2 linked regions of the Callithrix jacchus genome follow. The protein of the gene in region 2 purifies or fractionates together with the protein of the main gene of each other region. This does not show direct contact. Links are inferred from orthologs where the notes say so. Each region holds a gene or a part of one and is shown on either strand. Other genes may lie near its edges.

What was found. Proteins that work in one complex are often made in the same cells at the same time.
Region 1: the proteins of DLD (region 2) and OGDH purify together in Homo sapiens (affinity purification with mass spectrometry; 3 studies listed by BioGRID and IntAct, counting the BioPlex papers as one, with this or other methods). This does not show direct contact. The link is inferred for Callithrix jacchus from reciprocal best matches to the Homo sapiens genes DLD and OGDH.

Annotation. Positions count from the first base shown.
Region 1 is NC_133512.1:12,756,968-12,765,051, reverse strand, and holds part of OGDH (2-oxoglutarate dehydrogenase complex component E1), read right to left. Parts: intron 4,684-8,084; coding exon 4,529-4,683; intron 4,051-4,528; coding exon 3,904-4,050; intron 3,288-3,903; coding exon 3,197-3,287; intron 2,489-3,196; coding exon 2,309-2,488; intron 1-2,308. UniProt on the Homo sapiens protein: 2-oxoglutarate dehydrogenase (E1o) component of the 2-oxoglutarate dehydrogenase complex (OGDHC). Participates in the first step, rate limiting for the overall conversion of 2-oxoglutarate to succinyl-CoA and CO(2) catalyzed by the whole OGDHC.
Region 2 is NC_133512.1:78,371,735-78,378,822, forward strand, and holds the end of DLD (dihydrolipoyl dehydrogenase, mitochondrial), read left to right. Parts: intron 1-686; coding exon 687-857; intron 858-1,176; coding exon 1,177-1,366; intron 1,367-1,832; coding exon 1,833-1,970; intron 1,971-2,924; coding exon 2,925-3,014; intron 3,015-3,108; coding exon 3,109-3,174; 3' UTR 3,175-3,876; downstream 3,877-7,088. UniProt on the Homo sapiens protein: Lipoamide dehydrogenase is a component of the glycine cleavage system as well as an E3 component of three alpha-ketoacid dehydrogenase complexes (pyruvate-, alpha-ketoglutarate-, and branched-chain amino acid-dehydrogenase complex).

The sequences.
Region 1 (8,084 bases), about 66 Mb from region 2:
CTTCGTGGTACAGTCTGTCTTGTGCTGACAGGGCACCTGTGGTTAGTCTTCCTCTTGTCATGGTATTTTTTCTTGATCACCTTGGTGATGTTGTATTGCAACCGCCATGTCACACTGGACTGTGGTAACTGGCTGCTGATATCACAGCCAGCACACAAGGGGAATCTCCTTGTGTCTGGCAGCCTGAGCTGTACCTCTGGCAGCAGTGCATTCTCCCTTTGCAGCAGGTTGCATAGCTGCACTGAGGAAATGCTTTCATGAACAAAGATCCCAAAGGCCATATTAGCCCTGAGCCAGATTAGGTGTGTTTCACAACCATGCACAAGGTTATGGGACCACCTCAGCTGCACTTACAGAAAGTATGTAATTTTTCACAAATGCTGAGAGTTACATAACACATCCTTTAGCTCCCTGAGTTCTGGATTTAACAGAAATCAAATCATGTTCTATGGGTGTCAAGAGGAGTAAGAAGAACAGGCAGACGGCTGAGCCTGCACACCCCACACTGACCCTGCTGGGGACATGTGAGGGCTTGAGACAAGGTGACGAAGAGCCTCAGAAAGGGAACTGGCGACTATCCACACTGGGGCAAGGGCAAACTTGTGACAACATGGTTTGTGTAGACTGGAAAACAAAGGGACTGACAATTCCGACTCAGCTACATGCAGCCTCTCCTGTCCTGGCATCTCATGAAGGGACCAATCAGTATGACCATCTGTGGCAGTTTAAAATATATTCTAATACTTTTATTCGAATTATTTCATTCCTTTTTGGGAAATTTCCAGCATTCTGAGCTGAATACTGCTAGAATGTATTTTTGTCCAAAATCTACAAATGCAGGAGTCACCTAAGTTTTTGGTAATCTCATTCCAATCCTCAGCCCAAATGCCTGGGTGAGTGTCCTAGCCAAGGAGGGTAGAAATACCAGAGGCACTGGTCACCCCAATGCTGGTCTCCCCCTGCCAATCTCACCTCAGGCCAGCCCATCCCAGACACCAAGTGTTGTTACTGCCTGCAGGGGCTGCAGGTTCCCCAAACAGAGCTGAGGCCTCTCTGCATCTAGTTGAAGTTTCTGACACTGTCCTGGCCCCATGAGCTTGAAGCCATGGAATGACCTCTGCGTCCCTGTGGCTCACGCTCGTTCTTTACAGCGAGCATTGATCGACGGGGGGATCACTTCCCCAGCCCAGACTCCATTACCTATGATGGCAGTTTCTCTTCCTCTAACCCTCTAAGCATGACAGTAGTAAAATTACAGAACCCAGTAAACTAATAATTGGTTCCACTTCTAATATAGATCTGACCTCTTTCCAGGGGCACAACTAGGAGGCTGGCCCCTCCCTGCTTTGTGTCCCCAAGTCACCCTGCGTCTCTGCTCTTAACCTTTCATCTCCAGAAAACATTCTTACCTTCCCACCTACCTAAATCCTGCCACTTCTCAAATAAAATGACGACTACCTGCTCTGCTGATAAGGGGGTCTGCTTTCTATCCTTGGTCCAACTCTAGCCCACACCCCTGCATACCTCTTCCAAAGCTCTTGGCGGCTAACTCCACAGTTTCCTATCATGCTCTGTATGTGCTATTTGCTTCCTTACACATGATCCTTTTTCTAAAAAGAATAGGAGGCTCTAGAAAGGTGATGATGTCTTCTTTGTTTGTTTCCCAGACCCCATATACGAGACCTTACAAATATTTGATTTTTTTCTAATTATTTAAGTCATCATTAATGAGAACTATAAAATTTGTTAGACAAGATTGGATCTTGAGGTTAAATAAGGGCAAACAGTTACAATCTGTTGAGACTATTTCTACACAAGCAGGCTGGCAAGCAACCCCCAGCACTCAGATGGTGAAGTAGGCCACCTAGGTGCAGCCTATGCCCTGGTCTGTCTCCTACCAGCCCTGTGAACTCCTGCCTCTGATCAGAGCAAGCCTGACTTTCCTGACAAGTCTCAGTTCTACAATTTCTCCTTCAGGCTAACCTGCACTTTCTCCTTAGAGACTCTCCAACTCTCCTCCTTTTCAGTGAAAACATCTCTTCGTCCATTCAGAATAACTGTAAACCTGACTCCTTCACAGATATGAAGACAAAAGCACACTCCCCACATAGTTCTGATGATTACAACTTCAGGAGAAGGCACGTTGTAAGCAGGACGATTTTACTATTGCTATTCTTTTAAAGTTGACTTTAAATTTTTTTTAAAGTCCAGATGTACCCAGGACTCTGGGTTATGTTGGTGAGCAGAACTGCGTGCTAGAACATGGGGCCTCGACGATCTGCCTTGCACGCCTCTCTCTGGGCCTTACCTTTTTCCCTTCAGTGTCCCCACAGTAAAACTGCTCAGCTTTGGTCTTGCCCATTACCACAGGGTCAGCGGCTTCAAGGTGGGAAGGGTTGGCCACCAGGGACAGGGTAATGTTCCTGTCGGTCACACGGTTGATCCTGCGGTGATACATACCCAGGTGGTACTTCACATCTCCAGAGCCCTGATGGAGTAAACAGTGAATTTGCACCCTGGACAAAAAGACACTCAGTCTCCAAAAGAGCCATTTTATATGGAATTTAAAAAAATATATACATATTTTTGAGACAGAGTTTCATTCTTGTTGCCCAGGTAGAGTGCAATGGCGCAATCTTGGCTCACCGCAACCTCCGCCTCCCAGGTTCAAGCAATTCTCCTACCTCAGTCTCCGAAGTAGCTGAGATTACAGGCATGTGCCACCATGCTGATTAATTTTGTGTTTTAGTAGAGACAGGGTTTCTCCACGTTGGTCAGGCTGGTCTGGAACTCACAACCTTAGGTGATCAGCCTGCCTCAGCCTCCCAAAGTGCTGGGATTACAGGCGTGAGCCACTGTGCCTAGCCTTATATGTGATTTCTAACCCCAGGAACCCAACGTAGAAGAATATGGAGGCTTTTTCCCAGGATCATTCCTACCCAGGGCACAGGGAGAAGGTCCCTCAGCCAGAGGGGATATACCCCTGCACTCAGCGTGGCGCTGCTAGACCTCCAACCAGAAGGTGGAACAGTGGCCCCCTCCTTTGTTCCAACACTAAAATTCTTCCAACAAGGAAGGCAAACCACAATGGTACAGAAGAATCAACCCCTCATAAGTTATTCTGAGAAAGAAGTGGAGCCGGGGGTCTCGTGTAAGTTGGGGCTCTGCTGGATGTGTCTCTACACAGGTGCCTCACCTCATCAGCTGCCTCCAGCTTTGAATCAAATTGACAGAAGATCTGTTCCAGCTCCTTCCTGATGACATTTGCAAGCACGTTAAGCCGCCCTCTGAAACGTATGGGCGAGTAGAGTGAGCAGAGCCCGAGGTCACGGCTTCCAGATGACGGGGAGGCTGTTATAATCCCTACCCTCTTCCCCTCCTCCAGGACACAGCACCTCCTCGGTTTGCAGCCCAAGAATGCTGTGAACTGGAGCTAATGTGGGCACTGAGCCTCTCTGTGCTAGACAATCAAGGCCACAGTGGACAACAGAAAGGCAGAAGATGTGGAAATGCCATGGGCCTGAGGCTTCCTTACCCTCCTCCCTCCCCACACTATCTCCGATTTTTGAAGTCTTGGCCTCCCCTCCAATGTCAGGAAGCAGCCTTTCCTCCAGCTTAACCCTCAAGGGAACCTGGGTTTAACTTTCATAAAAATGTAATGTAAGGCCAAATGCCAGTCTGAAACTACACGTGGCTCTGGCTGTGACAGTGACTTTGCAGTCTTCCAGAGGTAGGGAATGTGAGAATCCCCTGCAAAACAAGGCACCCGCAGGTATCAGATGAGCCCAGGCTCACAACTGGCACTTGAGAAGGAAACAGCTGTTCTCTCAGTTCTTTACCTGGTGCCTCCTACACACCCTGCAGGGATGGTGAGAAGGAGGTGGGGCACGCCCTCAGCCATACCTGTGTGGCATGCCCATGATCACGTAGTCCACACCGTTCTCACTTGACTTGTCAATGATGGTCTTGAGGGCAGGAATCAGCACCTCACAGCCTTCTAGACCAAAGCGCTTCTCAGAGGACCACTTCCGCTGTAGGAACTCCTCAAACCTGGACATGGAATAAAGTCACCTTGAAGAACAATGTCACTCTTCCTGACCAAAAAGAGGGGGCTCTGGGCCAGGCACAGTGGCTCACTGCACTTTGGGAGTAATGCTAGCACTTTGGGAGGCCAAGGTGGACAGATCACATGAGGTCAGGAATTTGAGACCAGCCTGGCCAACATAGAGAAACCTGATCTCTACTTAAATGGATAAAAATTAGCTGGCCGTAGTGGCATGTGCCTACAATCACTGCTACTGGGAGGCTGAGGCAAGAGAATCGCTTGAACTCAGGAGACGGAGGTTGCTCTGAAGGCTGACTCTACCTGCCTGGTGTCTCTTCAGACACGTGCAGCTGCAGCTTTGCCTATACCTCCCCAAAGCCCCTCTCACCTCGACCAACAGGCTGCACACAGGCCCAAACAACACACACAGGGCTGCTGCTTCCCTGGGGATGTGTGCCCCATGGCCCAGGGCCAGACCCATACCTGGTGGACCGCACAAGCCTGGCCAGCAGGGTCCGCTTCTCCTCATTTGTGAACTGCATGATCCCGGGGGTCTCAAACTTCTGCCGGATCCACTGGCACTGCTCCAGGTCATTGATGAACATGAACTCCACCCCAATGTGCTGGCAGTAGGCCATCTATTCCATACAGAAACACACAGGCAAGGGAGTTTCTAACCAGGCCTGGCTGAATCAAGAGTACCGACTGCCTGTTCAGCCAGAAGGTGGGAGGGGGAGCAGGAGGCTTGTTCTGAAAGGTACCCCAGTCAGGTATGACTGAGGGGGAGACGGAGTGGGTACCAGGCAGAGGTCCTCCTCTTCAAGTGCTTCCTTCAGGGACCTGGGTCACTTGCACACAAGAACCTCCTAGCCCTCCAAGGGCCAGGACAAGGAACAACCCCAGTTCTACTCTGGTACCTTTGTGGCAAGAAGCATAGACCGCAACAGTTGTGGAACTGTGTCCTTCCCCAGGGAGGACAGACTGTCATCAAGGTCAGACCTGTGCCAGCATCCATAACAGGAAATGCCCATAGGCTGTCATAGGCTCAATAGCTGTTTACGATTCGCAGTCTTTTTGTTTGTTTGTTTGTTTGAGGGAGGGTCTCTCTGTCACTGAGGCAGGAGTGCAGTAGCGCTATCTGGGCCCAATGCAGCCTCAACCTCTTGCACTCAAGTGATCGTCCCGCCTTATGTTTTGGAGAGATGAGGTCTCACCATGATGCCCAGGCTGGTCTTGAACTCCTCGGCTAAAATGATCCTTCTGCCTCAGGAAGCAAGACTGCCCATAAGACAAAAGTCAGGATCCTGAGCAGATCAAGATGTCCTGCACCATGTTCATACCCCACAGCTCAGGCAAGGAGGCAGCACCCAATCTGCAGAGCTCAGGAGGGAAGAAGCCAGGAAGAGAGGGCCAGGAGCAAGAGGAGGCACTGGGCTCTTAGAAATCCACCTCGGGAGAGGAGGAAAGACTGCCAAAAAAAAAAAAAAAAATCCATCTCAGGCTGCCCTCAGCCTGGTGCTCCTGTAGAGGCCCACAGCTCAACCTGCACAGCTGCCCTAGAGGACCAGAATGAAAGGATGAGAGCAAACTGCAAGTCAGCATGGAGTAAAAAGGCGACAGGCCCTGATGTGGGCCAACAGACACTCTGCAGACCCCAAAGCCGCGTCTAACTATCTTTATAGCAGGGACTGCTGCCAGCGTACTCAGAGTGTCAGGTCCTGCTCAGCAGCTCTCGTTTATGACCACATTTGGTTTTCACAACAGACAATGAGACCAGCTGGCATGAGCAGTTAAAAGATGTGCTGAATCTGAGACCAGCCCTGTGCTTTGCAGAGGGTGGGCTAACCCTGCATACATGCTCCATGATCATGAAACAAAGCAAACTTTGCCTGAATTCAAAATTAACCAACTGCAACACTCTAGTTATTATCCAAGTCAACAAAAGAACAATCTTGCCTAGAAACTAGAAGAGAAAGTGCTGCTAGAAAAGACCCTAGTAGGCCGGGCGCGGTGGCTCAAGCCTGTAATCCCAGCACTTTGGGAGGCCGAGGCGGGTGGATCACAAGGTCAAGAGATCAAGACCATCCTGGTCAACATGTGAAACCCCGTCTCTACTAAAAGTACAAAAAATTAGCTGGGCATGGTGGCGTGTGCGTGTAATCCCAGCTACTCGGGAGGCTGAGGCAGGAGAATTGCCTGAACCCAGGAGGTGGAGGTTGCAGTGAGCCAAGATTGCGCCATTGCACTCCAACCTGGGTAACAAGAGCGAAACTCCGTCTCAAAAAAAAAGAAAAGACCCTAGTAGTTAAGGTATTTTTATTAACCCCTGTTTGTCCCCCCACAAACCTCATGCTGAAATTTGGTCCCCAATGTTGGAAGTGGGCCCACATGGATGATGTTTTGGTTCTGGGGTGGATCCCTCATGAATACATTAATGCCCTCCTTCAGAGGTGAGTAAGTTTTTGCTCTATTAGTTCCTAGGAGAGCTGGCTGCTAAAAAGAGCCTGGCACCTCCCGGCTCACTCTCTTGCTTCCCCTCCCACCATGTGACCTCTGCACAAGCAGGCTCCCCTTTGCCTTCTGCTGGGAGTGGAAGTAGCCTGAGGCCCTCACCAAATGCAGATGCCCAATTAGACTGTGAGCCAAATAAACCCTTTTTCTTTATAAACTATAAATTATCCAACCTCAGGTATTCCTTTATAGCAATACAAAATGGACTAAGACAATCCCAAACCATATTTTCTAATCACATCTAAGATAAAACTAAGATAAACTTCTACATTAGATGCACAAAAAAACCAAGAAGAGGGTGTAGTGGGCACCCCCAATCCCTAACTTCAGAGTTGACATCAGTCCACTGTCCCATGTCACCTTTACAGACACTTGGTGATCCACAGTGCCCAATCTACTGAACAGGAGAAGAAACTACATTTCTGCAGAAACCCATTCAAGAAGACAAGGTCAGCTCCAGAGTGGCTGTTAATGAGAACCTTCAAAGAGGACCCACCCTCTTTGGATGGGGTCCATGCTTGTGGTGCAAACCCAGCAACTGGCTGTCTGCCCACTCCTCATCATCCCGACCCCAAATGCCAACGGGTGAAGGGTGCTGTGAGGGAAGAACTCTTCCCTTCATCACTACTGCTGTCTCCAATTACAGAGCTGGTAGAACTGTGCTACGCCCAGGCTCTGCCCATGCCTTTCCTCTCCCTTTTACACCTGACAGCAGCAGAGTTTCCATTATTGAACAAAAGAAACTATTGGGTTAAAAACTCTAGAAATCAGTATCTCTCCAACATCAGTATTACTTTAGCAAGTAACTTGGAGATGTAGTTACTGGGCCACAGAATCGTGTTGTGTTTTCTTTGTTCTTGGCTCTGTCTCCAGGAGAAAAGGGCAGCAAGTTTCAGGGGCTGATTCTTTGCTTTTCCCGCTTATGAGAAAAATTTTAGGAAGCCAAGAAGTTGAATCTCCTCTAATTTTTAAAAACAGCTACAAATTGACCACCATGTCACATGATCAACAGCTTAAGATCTGTCTGATTATACCACCAATCTAACATACACACACATTCAATGTAAGTAAAGCATCACCATCAGGCAGGGAGATGAGGAGTTTATGCAAATGTCTGTAAACTGTTGTGGAAATGGAGTCTTCCAAGTTGGGGCCACTCTGAGGCCAGGAGGGTGTATGGCCTGAGACTCCTAAGGTACAGGTCCAACTGTCCCAGACAATGAGAGCCAACTCCAGGGCTCTGGCATCAAGTGGACTGAAAGGGAGACAGGCCTTCAACATGCTTCAGGCCCTCCACCCCTTCATATGATGAAATCGGAACTACCTGGGATTCAAGATTCAGAGAGGAAGTTGGCCATAGGGACATCAATGCCTCTGCCCCTCATTCTGCTCTTTGAGAAGGAAGGTACTGAAGAGGCCCCCGAGAGGTGACACCATGGCATGATATGGAGACAGTGACCCCATGGAAACTTTCCATTGTGAGACCATGTTTAAGAATAAGCTTCTGGGGCCAGGCATAGTGGCTCAT
Region 2 (7,088 bases):
TCCCTGTCTATTTCTTTAAGCAAAATACTCAAGTTTCAAAATCAGATTAGGAAATACAGGGTATTTTCTAGCATAAGGTCATTATATTGCTTAATATAACTCAGTCGCTTATCAGATTATTGCCTTAGCACGTTGAAATTTATGATTAGGTTAATGCTATAGAAAGATTGATCCAATATTTTCATTGTTGTAATGTACCTTTCTATAGTATTTTCAGAAAAATTTAATTTCCCAATATTCAGTAAATTAAATCACCATGTTTACACAGATACATGGGGAAATCAATAATAAAAGATTGCTTACTATATGTCTGGCACTCTACTGATTAAATACTTTAATGGTATTTAACCTAATAAATTAGTTTTTAAATAAATACTTAAATAGTTAATAGTATTTAAATAGTTTAATTATTAACTTGCTTAATATCACACAGCTAGTGGGTGGCAGTCAGTACTTAAATGTGGATTTTTGTGACTCAAAGACCTATATTCTTAACTGCTGTTTTGTTAGTCTGTGATTTTTGTGAGATTTTATGATAGCTCTCTTTCATTATCTGACTCTTCGATTTACAGTCAAATAAACTTAATTGTTAAAAATGTCATCAATGCTTGAGAAATTTCTGATCTTAAATTTTTATCAATTTATGTAGGTGTGTATTTAACATTTATATACTGTTTGTTATCTAGTATTGAAGCTGCTTCTGGTGGTAAAGCTGAAGTTATCACTTGTGATGTACTCTTAGTTTGCATTGGTCGACGACCCTTTACTAAGAATTTGGGACTAGAAGAGCTGGGAATTGAACTAGATCCCAGAGGTAGAATTCCAGTCAATACCAGATTCCAATCTAAAATTCCAAAGTAAGTTGGACAGTTGTCTGCGTTTTCAGTAATTTTAAAATTGATTTCAAACAGTGTTTCGAAAAGTAAGACTTGTATGCTTAAAATATGTCTTGGCTTTGGGGAAGAATAGTAAACTTACAAAATGTAAAATCAAAAAATAATTGAAGTTTTCCTCAAAGATGAGAAGGTGAATTCATAGATTTTTGAAGAGTTGCATTTGATTTATCTTTTGGTGACTTATTTACTGGAAACTTTTACTTTTGTTACCATGATGTAACTGAAGATAAGTAGCTGTGATTTCAGAAATTCATTTTGTTTCTTTTGATTTCTGTGGTAGTATCTATGCTATTGGTGATGTAGTTGCTGGTCCAATGCTGGCTCACAAAGCAGAGGATGAAGGCATTATCTGTGTTGAAGGAATGGCTGGTGGTGCTGTGCACATTGACTACAATTGTGTGCCATCAGTGATTTATACACACCCTGAAGTTGCTTGGGTTGGCAAATCAGAAGAGCAGTTGAAAGAAGAGGTAACTCTGAACGTGGGTGGTTTTACCCTAGTGTGTGAGTTGTGCCAGTGACAATGGTGGTTGAGAAACAGCATCTTATTACATTAATATATTTCACAGCTGTGAAATATCATTGTTTAGCTTATATGTTTTTCCCTTGTTAGCATTATAAAGAGATTGTTCACAGATTTTTCAGCAGTAATTGAGAGGAGGAGAAGTTGCCTGTATTAAAAAACTAGTAATTCCAAATCTTTTATATTTGGCTTTGAAATATAACCAGATGGACAGACATTTGTATTGGCTTGCATTTGTGCCCAAGATATAGTTCATTAACTATATCTTCATTAACAAGACCTTTGGGTCTTGTATGTACTTTGTGTACAGTTGCCTTCTTGGGATTTATTTCTGATCAAATGGTAGATGATTTTACAAATTGGAATGAACTCTTCCAGCACTTACGTAGATTCTTTTTTTATGTCTCTCACAGGGTATTGAGTACAAAGTTGGGAAATTCCCATTTGCTGCTAACAGCAGAGCTAAGACAAATGCTGACACAGATGGCATGGTGAAGATCCTTGGGCAGAAATCGACCGACAGAGTACTGGGAGCACATATTCTTGGACCAGTGAGTATCGTAAAACCAGAGAAATCCATAAGATTTCTAGAAAGCATTGCTGTTTATTAATTGTAAACCACCTGTTGTTATTTGGAGGTTACTCATTTCCAGCAAAACTTTTGAATATGGCCTCTCTGTGTATCATTTCTAGAAGGATACCAGCAGCACTCTCACAGTCTTGCCCACTGTATCATCTGGTTTCTATACTGGAGCCAAGATTCTGTCTTTAAAATATACACCGGATTATGCCCCTAAAATCCTCCAGTGGTGCTTTTCAACTTCAGATTGTTACATACAGCGCCTCACTGAATCTGTTTGTGCCTACATTTCTGACCTCTTCTCTTTCTCCTCTCCTTTGCTGATTAATTCTGTGTGACATGGACCTTCTCTCATTTTCACAAGAGGCCAAATGTTTGAATTTTAGGGCCTTTGTGCTTGAGGTACCCTCTGCTTAGACTGTTGTGGCTCCACATCTTTGAATTGCTGGCTCCTTATTGTTTAGGTCTCATCTCAAATGTTACCTCCTAAGGGAAACCTTTCCTACCACTGAGGCTAAAGTATGTTATCTTTCTTGTAGATATCTCCTGTATCTGATATAACAATAAGGAGAATAGAATATTTGAGTGCTCACTGTGTCACTTTAGTATACATTTTGTTATTTTTACAACAGCTTTGTGAGATACATGCTGTTATTTTTGAGGTGAAGAAACTGAAGGAAGCACACAGAACCAGTGAATGGGTAAAGTAGTAAATGGTAGATACGAATCGAAAACCATTTGGCTCCAAAGCCCAGGTTCTTCTGTGTCACCTTTTCTGTTGTTTTTTCTGACTTTCTTTCAGCTGATACAGAAACAGATTTAAGGCGATTTTCAGATCTAAAAGCTTCCTCTCTTAACCATTGCTATCCTATTAGCATGTAGTTTTTGTCATGGAAGCAAATTTACTTGGCTTGTTATTTTAAAGGGTGCTGGAGAAATGGTAAATGAAGCTGCTCTTGCTTTGGAATATGGAGCATCCTGTGAAGATATAGCTAGAGTCTGTCATGCACATCCGGTAATTATTAACAACATAAAGAATTGATGGTTGCCTGAATTTTCTTCTAACCCACAAATACTTGGTTTTTAATTCTAAATTTCTTCCCTTGCAGACCTTATCAGAAGCTTTTAGAGAAGCAAATCTTGCTGCGTCATTTGGCAAATCAATCAACTTTTGAATTAGAAGATTATATATATTTTTTCTGAAATTTTCTGGGAGCTTTTGTAGAAGTCACATTCCTGGACAGGATATGCACACAGCTCCAAGAATTTCTAGGACTGAATTATGAAACTTTTGGAAGGTATTTAATAGGTTTGGACAGATGGAATACTCATATCTATATTTTACATATATTTAGTATTTTGTTTCAGTGCACTCATATGTAAGACAAAAAGCTACTTACTGTACCTGGAATATCTCCGTCAACTCCTATTTTCATGCTGTTCATGAAAGATTCAATGCCACTGAATTTAAGTAGTTTTTTTTTCTCTGATATAGAAAAGTTGAATTTTACACAGATGGAGCTAGAATTTGATCTTTGAACAGTTGTGTTTGAAGCAAAGTGATCAAGATATTTTTAATTTGGTTTTCATATTGGAAACAAGTCAGTCATTCAAACAAGATTCAGCTGTCTATAAACCAAATAATGTAAGTCAAAAAGGGTCTCTCACTTATTTAACCCCTAAATTCTTGCAGTTAAGGGGTAGAATTTATGTGTTTAAGAGGTTTTTAAGATTCCATTGTTGTCTATAACTCTGAAGGGTAATTATATAGTTACCCAAATTAAGAGAGTCTATTTACAGGACTCAAATATTACGTGTGGATTCAAATGTATTACAATGGGGAATGAAGATACTGAAATAAACGTCTTAAATATTCATTTATTGGTTGTTATGAGTACGTGTTGAGATGGTTGTAGTTTTTTTTTCTTTTTATGACTACCTCTAGTGTATGTTCTTATTTCTTTTGTAGGCCTGAATGTATCTTTATTTTCATGTTATGTGACAATATTAAGGTATTTTAAAGTCATTGTCCTTTCATCTATTTTAGAGACACCTAGTAAATGTTTAACATATGCTTTTGGAGAAGTACAACATAAGGGAGTCTTTAATCTGTTTTCCTTGGCTGGGTAAATGACTTTATTTAAAGAGTATTATAAAGTTGCGTCTATGGTGTTTAAAATGGCCATGTCCTGTGAAACTTAAGTAACAGAGTACTAAATGCTAAGTAGGCTTTTGCATATTATAACTAAATTTAAGAATGATATTCATTAAGTAGTTCTGAAATTTAGTATAGATAGCATAGATTGTCTAATGCTCATTATGAGTGGCGTATAGTAAACACCCTGGATTCTGTTACATACTTCTGAAGAAAATTGATTGTTGTCTTAGTAGGCAGTTAATTTGGCTGAACACCACCTCCAAACCCTGTAGGTGGTAGCAGCTGAAATCTCTTCTCAGTTGTTTTAGATTTACCTATGCTGCTGGAAGTCTTTCCGATGCAAGTGTATAGTTCAGTAGTCAACCAGAGGTTGGGCAGAAGAAAGTCTGCCCCTTCTTTTCCCTCTTATTTTTCTGGGGTTTTCCCCTTTATGTTCCAGCTGTTGTGGTCGCCCCATATTCTGTCCTCTGATCCTTATCCAATAAAACTTGGCTTTTGTTTCCCCCTCAAGTCAAAACCTATTAAAAATGAGACTTTGAGCCAGTGCTGTTCACTTTTTAAGTGCCAGCTCCTCTCTGCTTTTCACCTGTTTATAGTTGTTTTCCAGTGCCTTTACAGTTTTTTCTAAAATGTGTTTTGTTCAGAGTTTGCAGTTGCTGTCAGCAGGAGGGTTGGTCCGATATGTGCTACTTCGCCATTACTGGAAGTGAACGCTGCATCTTTTTAAAAATCTGAAATCCCAGTATCGTGTCAAGTGCTAGTTTATTTAAATCTCAACATGTCTCTTACTCAGGGAAAAATAAGTTTCTAGTTAGGGAGTAGTGAAATATAATTTAACATGGAATCCTAGCTCTAGGGACACAAAATAGTTAAATCCATATTTAAGTGTTTACATTCAATATGAGAATGAAATATATTTGGGTGGGGAATGAAGTCCTAAGAATAAAACAAGTTTTAAATGTTTACTTACTGTTGTCTACTAAGCTCTCAATATTTTCGTGGCTTGTGAAGGCAGATTATCCACTTCATTGAACTGATTAAAATTAGTAATTTCAACTGGCATGGAGCAGTGGCTTACTCCTGTAATCCCAGCAGTTTGGAAGGCTAAGGTAGGTGGATCACTTGAGGTCAGGAGTTTGAGACCAGTCTTGCCAATATGGTAAAACCCTGCTTCTACTAAAAATATAAAAATTAGCCTGGTGTGATGGTAGGTGCCTGTAATCCCAACTACTCATGAGGCTGAGACAGGAGAATCACTTGAACCCTGGAGGCTTAGGTTGCCGTAAGCCAAGATCACACCACTGCACTCCAGCCTGGGGGACAAGAGCGAAACTCCGCCTCAAAAAAAAAAAAAAATTAATTTCAAAGTGAGATCTTTAGTTGTTTAGCTGAAAAGGAATGGGGAGTGTTTCTACTATTTTAAGTAAAATACTTAATATAGTTACTGTAGTAGATGATAAGTTATGACCATTTTGCCAGTTACTAGGATTCTTTTATATATATATATAATATAATGTATATGTTATATACATTATATATGTTATATATATTATGTTAAATATATCAAATATATATATTATATATAAAATATATATAATATATATATATTATATATAAAATATATACTTTAAGTTCTGGGGTACATGTGTAGAACCTGCAGGTTTGTTACATAGGTATACGTGTGCTCTGGTGGTTTGCGATACCCATTAACCCATCACCTACATTAGGTATTTCTCCTAATGCTATTTCTCCCCTGGCCCTCCACCCCTAACAGGTCCCGGTGTGTGATGTTCCCCTCCCTGTGTCCATGTATTCTCATTGTTCAACTTCCACTTAGAGAACATGCAGTGTTTGGTTGTCTGTTCTTGTCAGTTTGCTGAGAATGATGGTTTCCAGCTTCATCCACGTCCCTGCAAAGGACATGAACTCACCCATTTTTACGGCTGCATAGTATTATGGTGTATATGTGCAACGTTTTCTTTATCCAGTCTATCATTGATGGACATTTGGTTTGGGTCCAAGTCTTTGCTCTTGTAAACAGTGCTGCAGTAAACATATGTGTGCATGTGTCTTTATAGAATGATTGATAATCCTTTGGATATATACCCAGTAATGAAATTGCTGGATCAAATGGAATTTCTATTTCTAGATCCTTGAGGAATCGCCACACTGTCTTCCACAATGGTTGAACTAATTTACACTCCCACCAACAGTGTAAAGGGTTCCTGTTTCTCTACATCCTCTCTATCTAGCATCTGCTGTTTCATGACTTTTTAATGATCACCATTCTAACAGGTGTGAGATGGTATCTCAGTGTGGTTTTGGTTTGCATTTCTCTAATGACTAGTGTTGATTAGCTTTTTCCCATGTTGGCTGCATGCATAAATGTATTCTTTTGAGAAGTGTCTGTTCATATCCTTCGCTTTCTTGATGGAATTTTTTTTATTCTTGTACATTTCTTTGTAGATTCTGGATGTTAGTCATTTGTCAGATGGGTAGACTGCAAAAAAATTTTCTCCCATTCTGTAGGTTGCCTGTTTACTTTGATGATAGTTTCTTTGGCTGTGCAGAAGCTCTTTAATTAGATCCCATTAGTTTCTTTTGGCTTTTGTTGCCACTGATTTTGGTGTTTTAGTCATGAAGCCTTTGCCTGTCCTGAATGTTATTGCCTAGGTTCTCTTCTCAGGTTTTTATGGTTTTAGGGCTCAAGTCTTTAGTCCATCTGGAGTTAATTTTTGTATAAGGTGTAAGGAAGGGATCCAGTTTCAGCTTTCTGCATGTGGCTAGCCAGTTTTCCCAACCTCATTTATTAATTATAATCCTTTACCCATTGCTTGTTTTTGTCAGGTTTGTCAAAGATCAGATGGTTGTAGGTATGTGGTGTTATTTCTGAGGCCTCTGTTCTGTTCCATTGGTCTTTCTCTCTGTTTT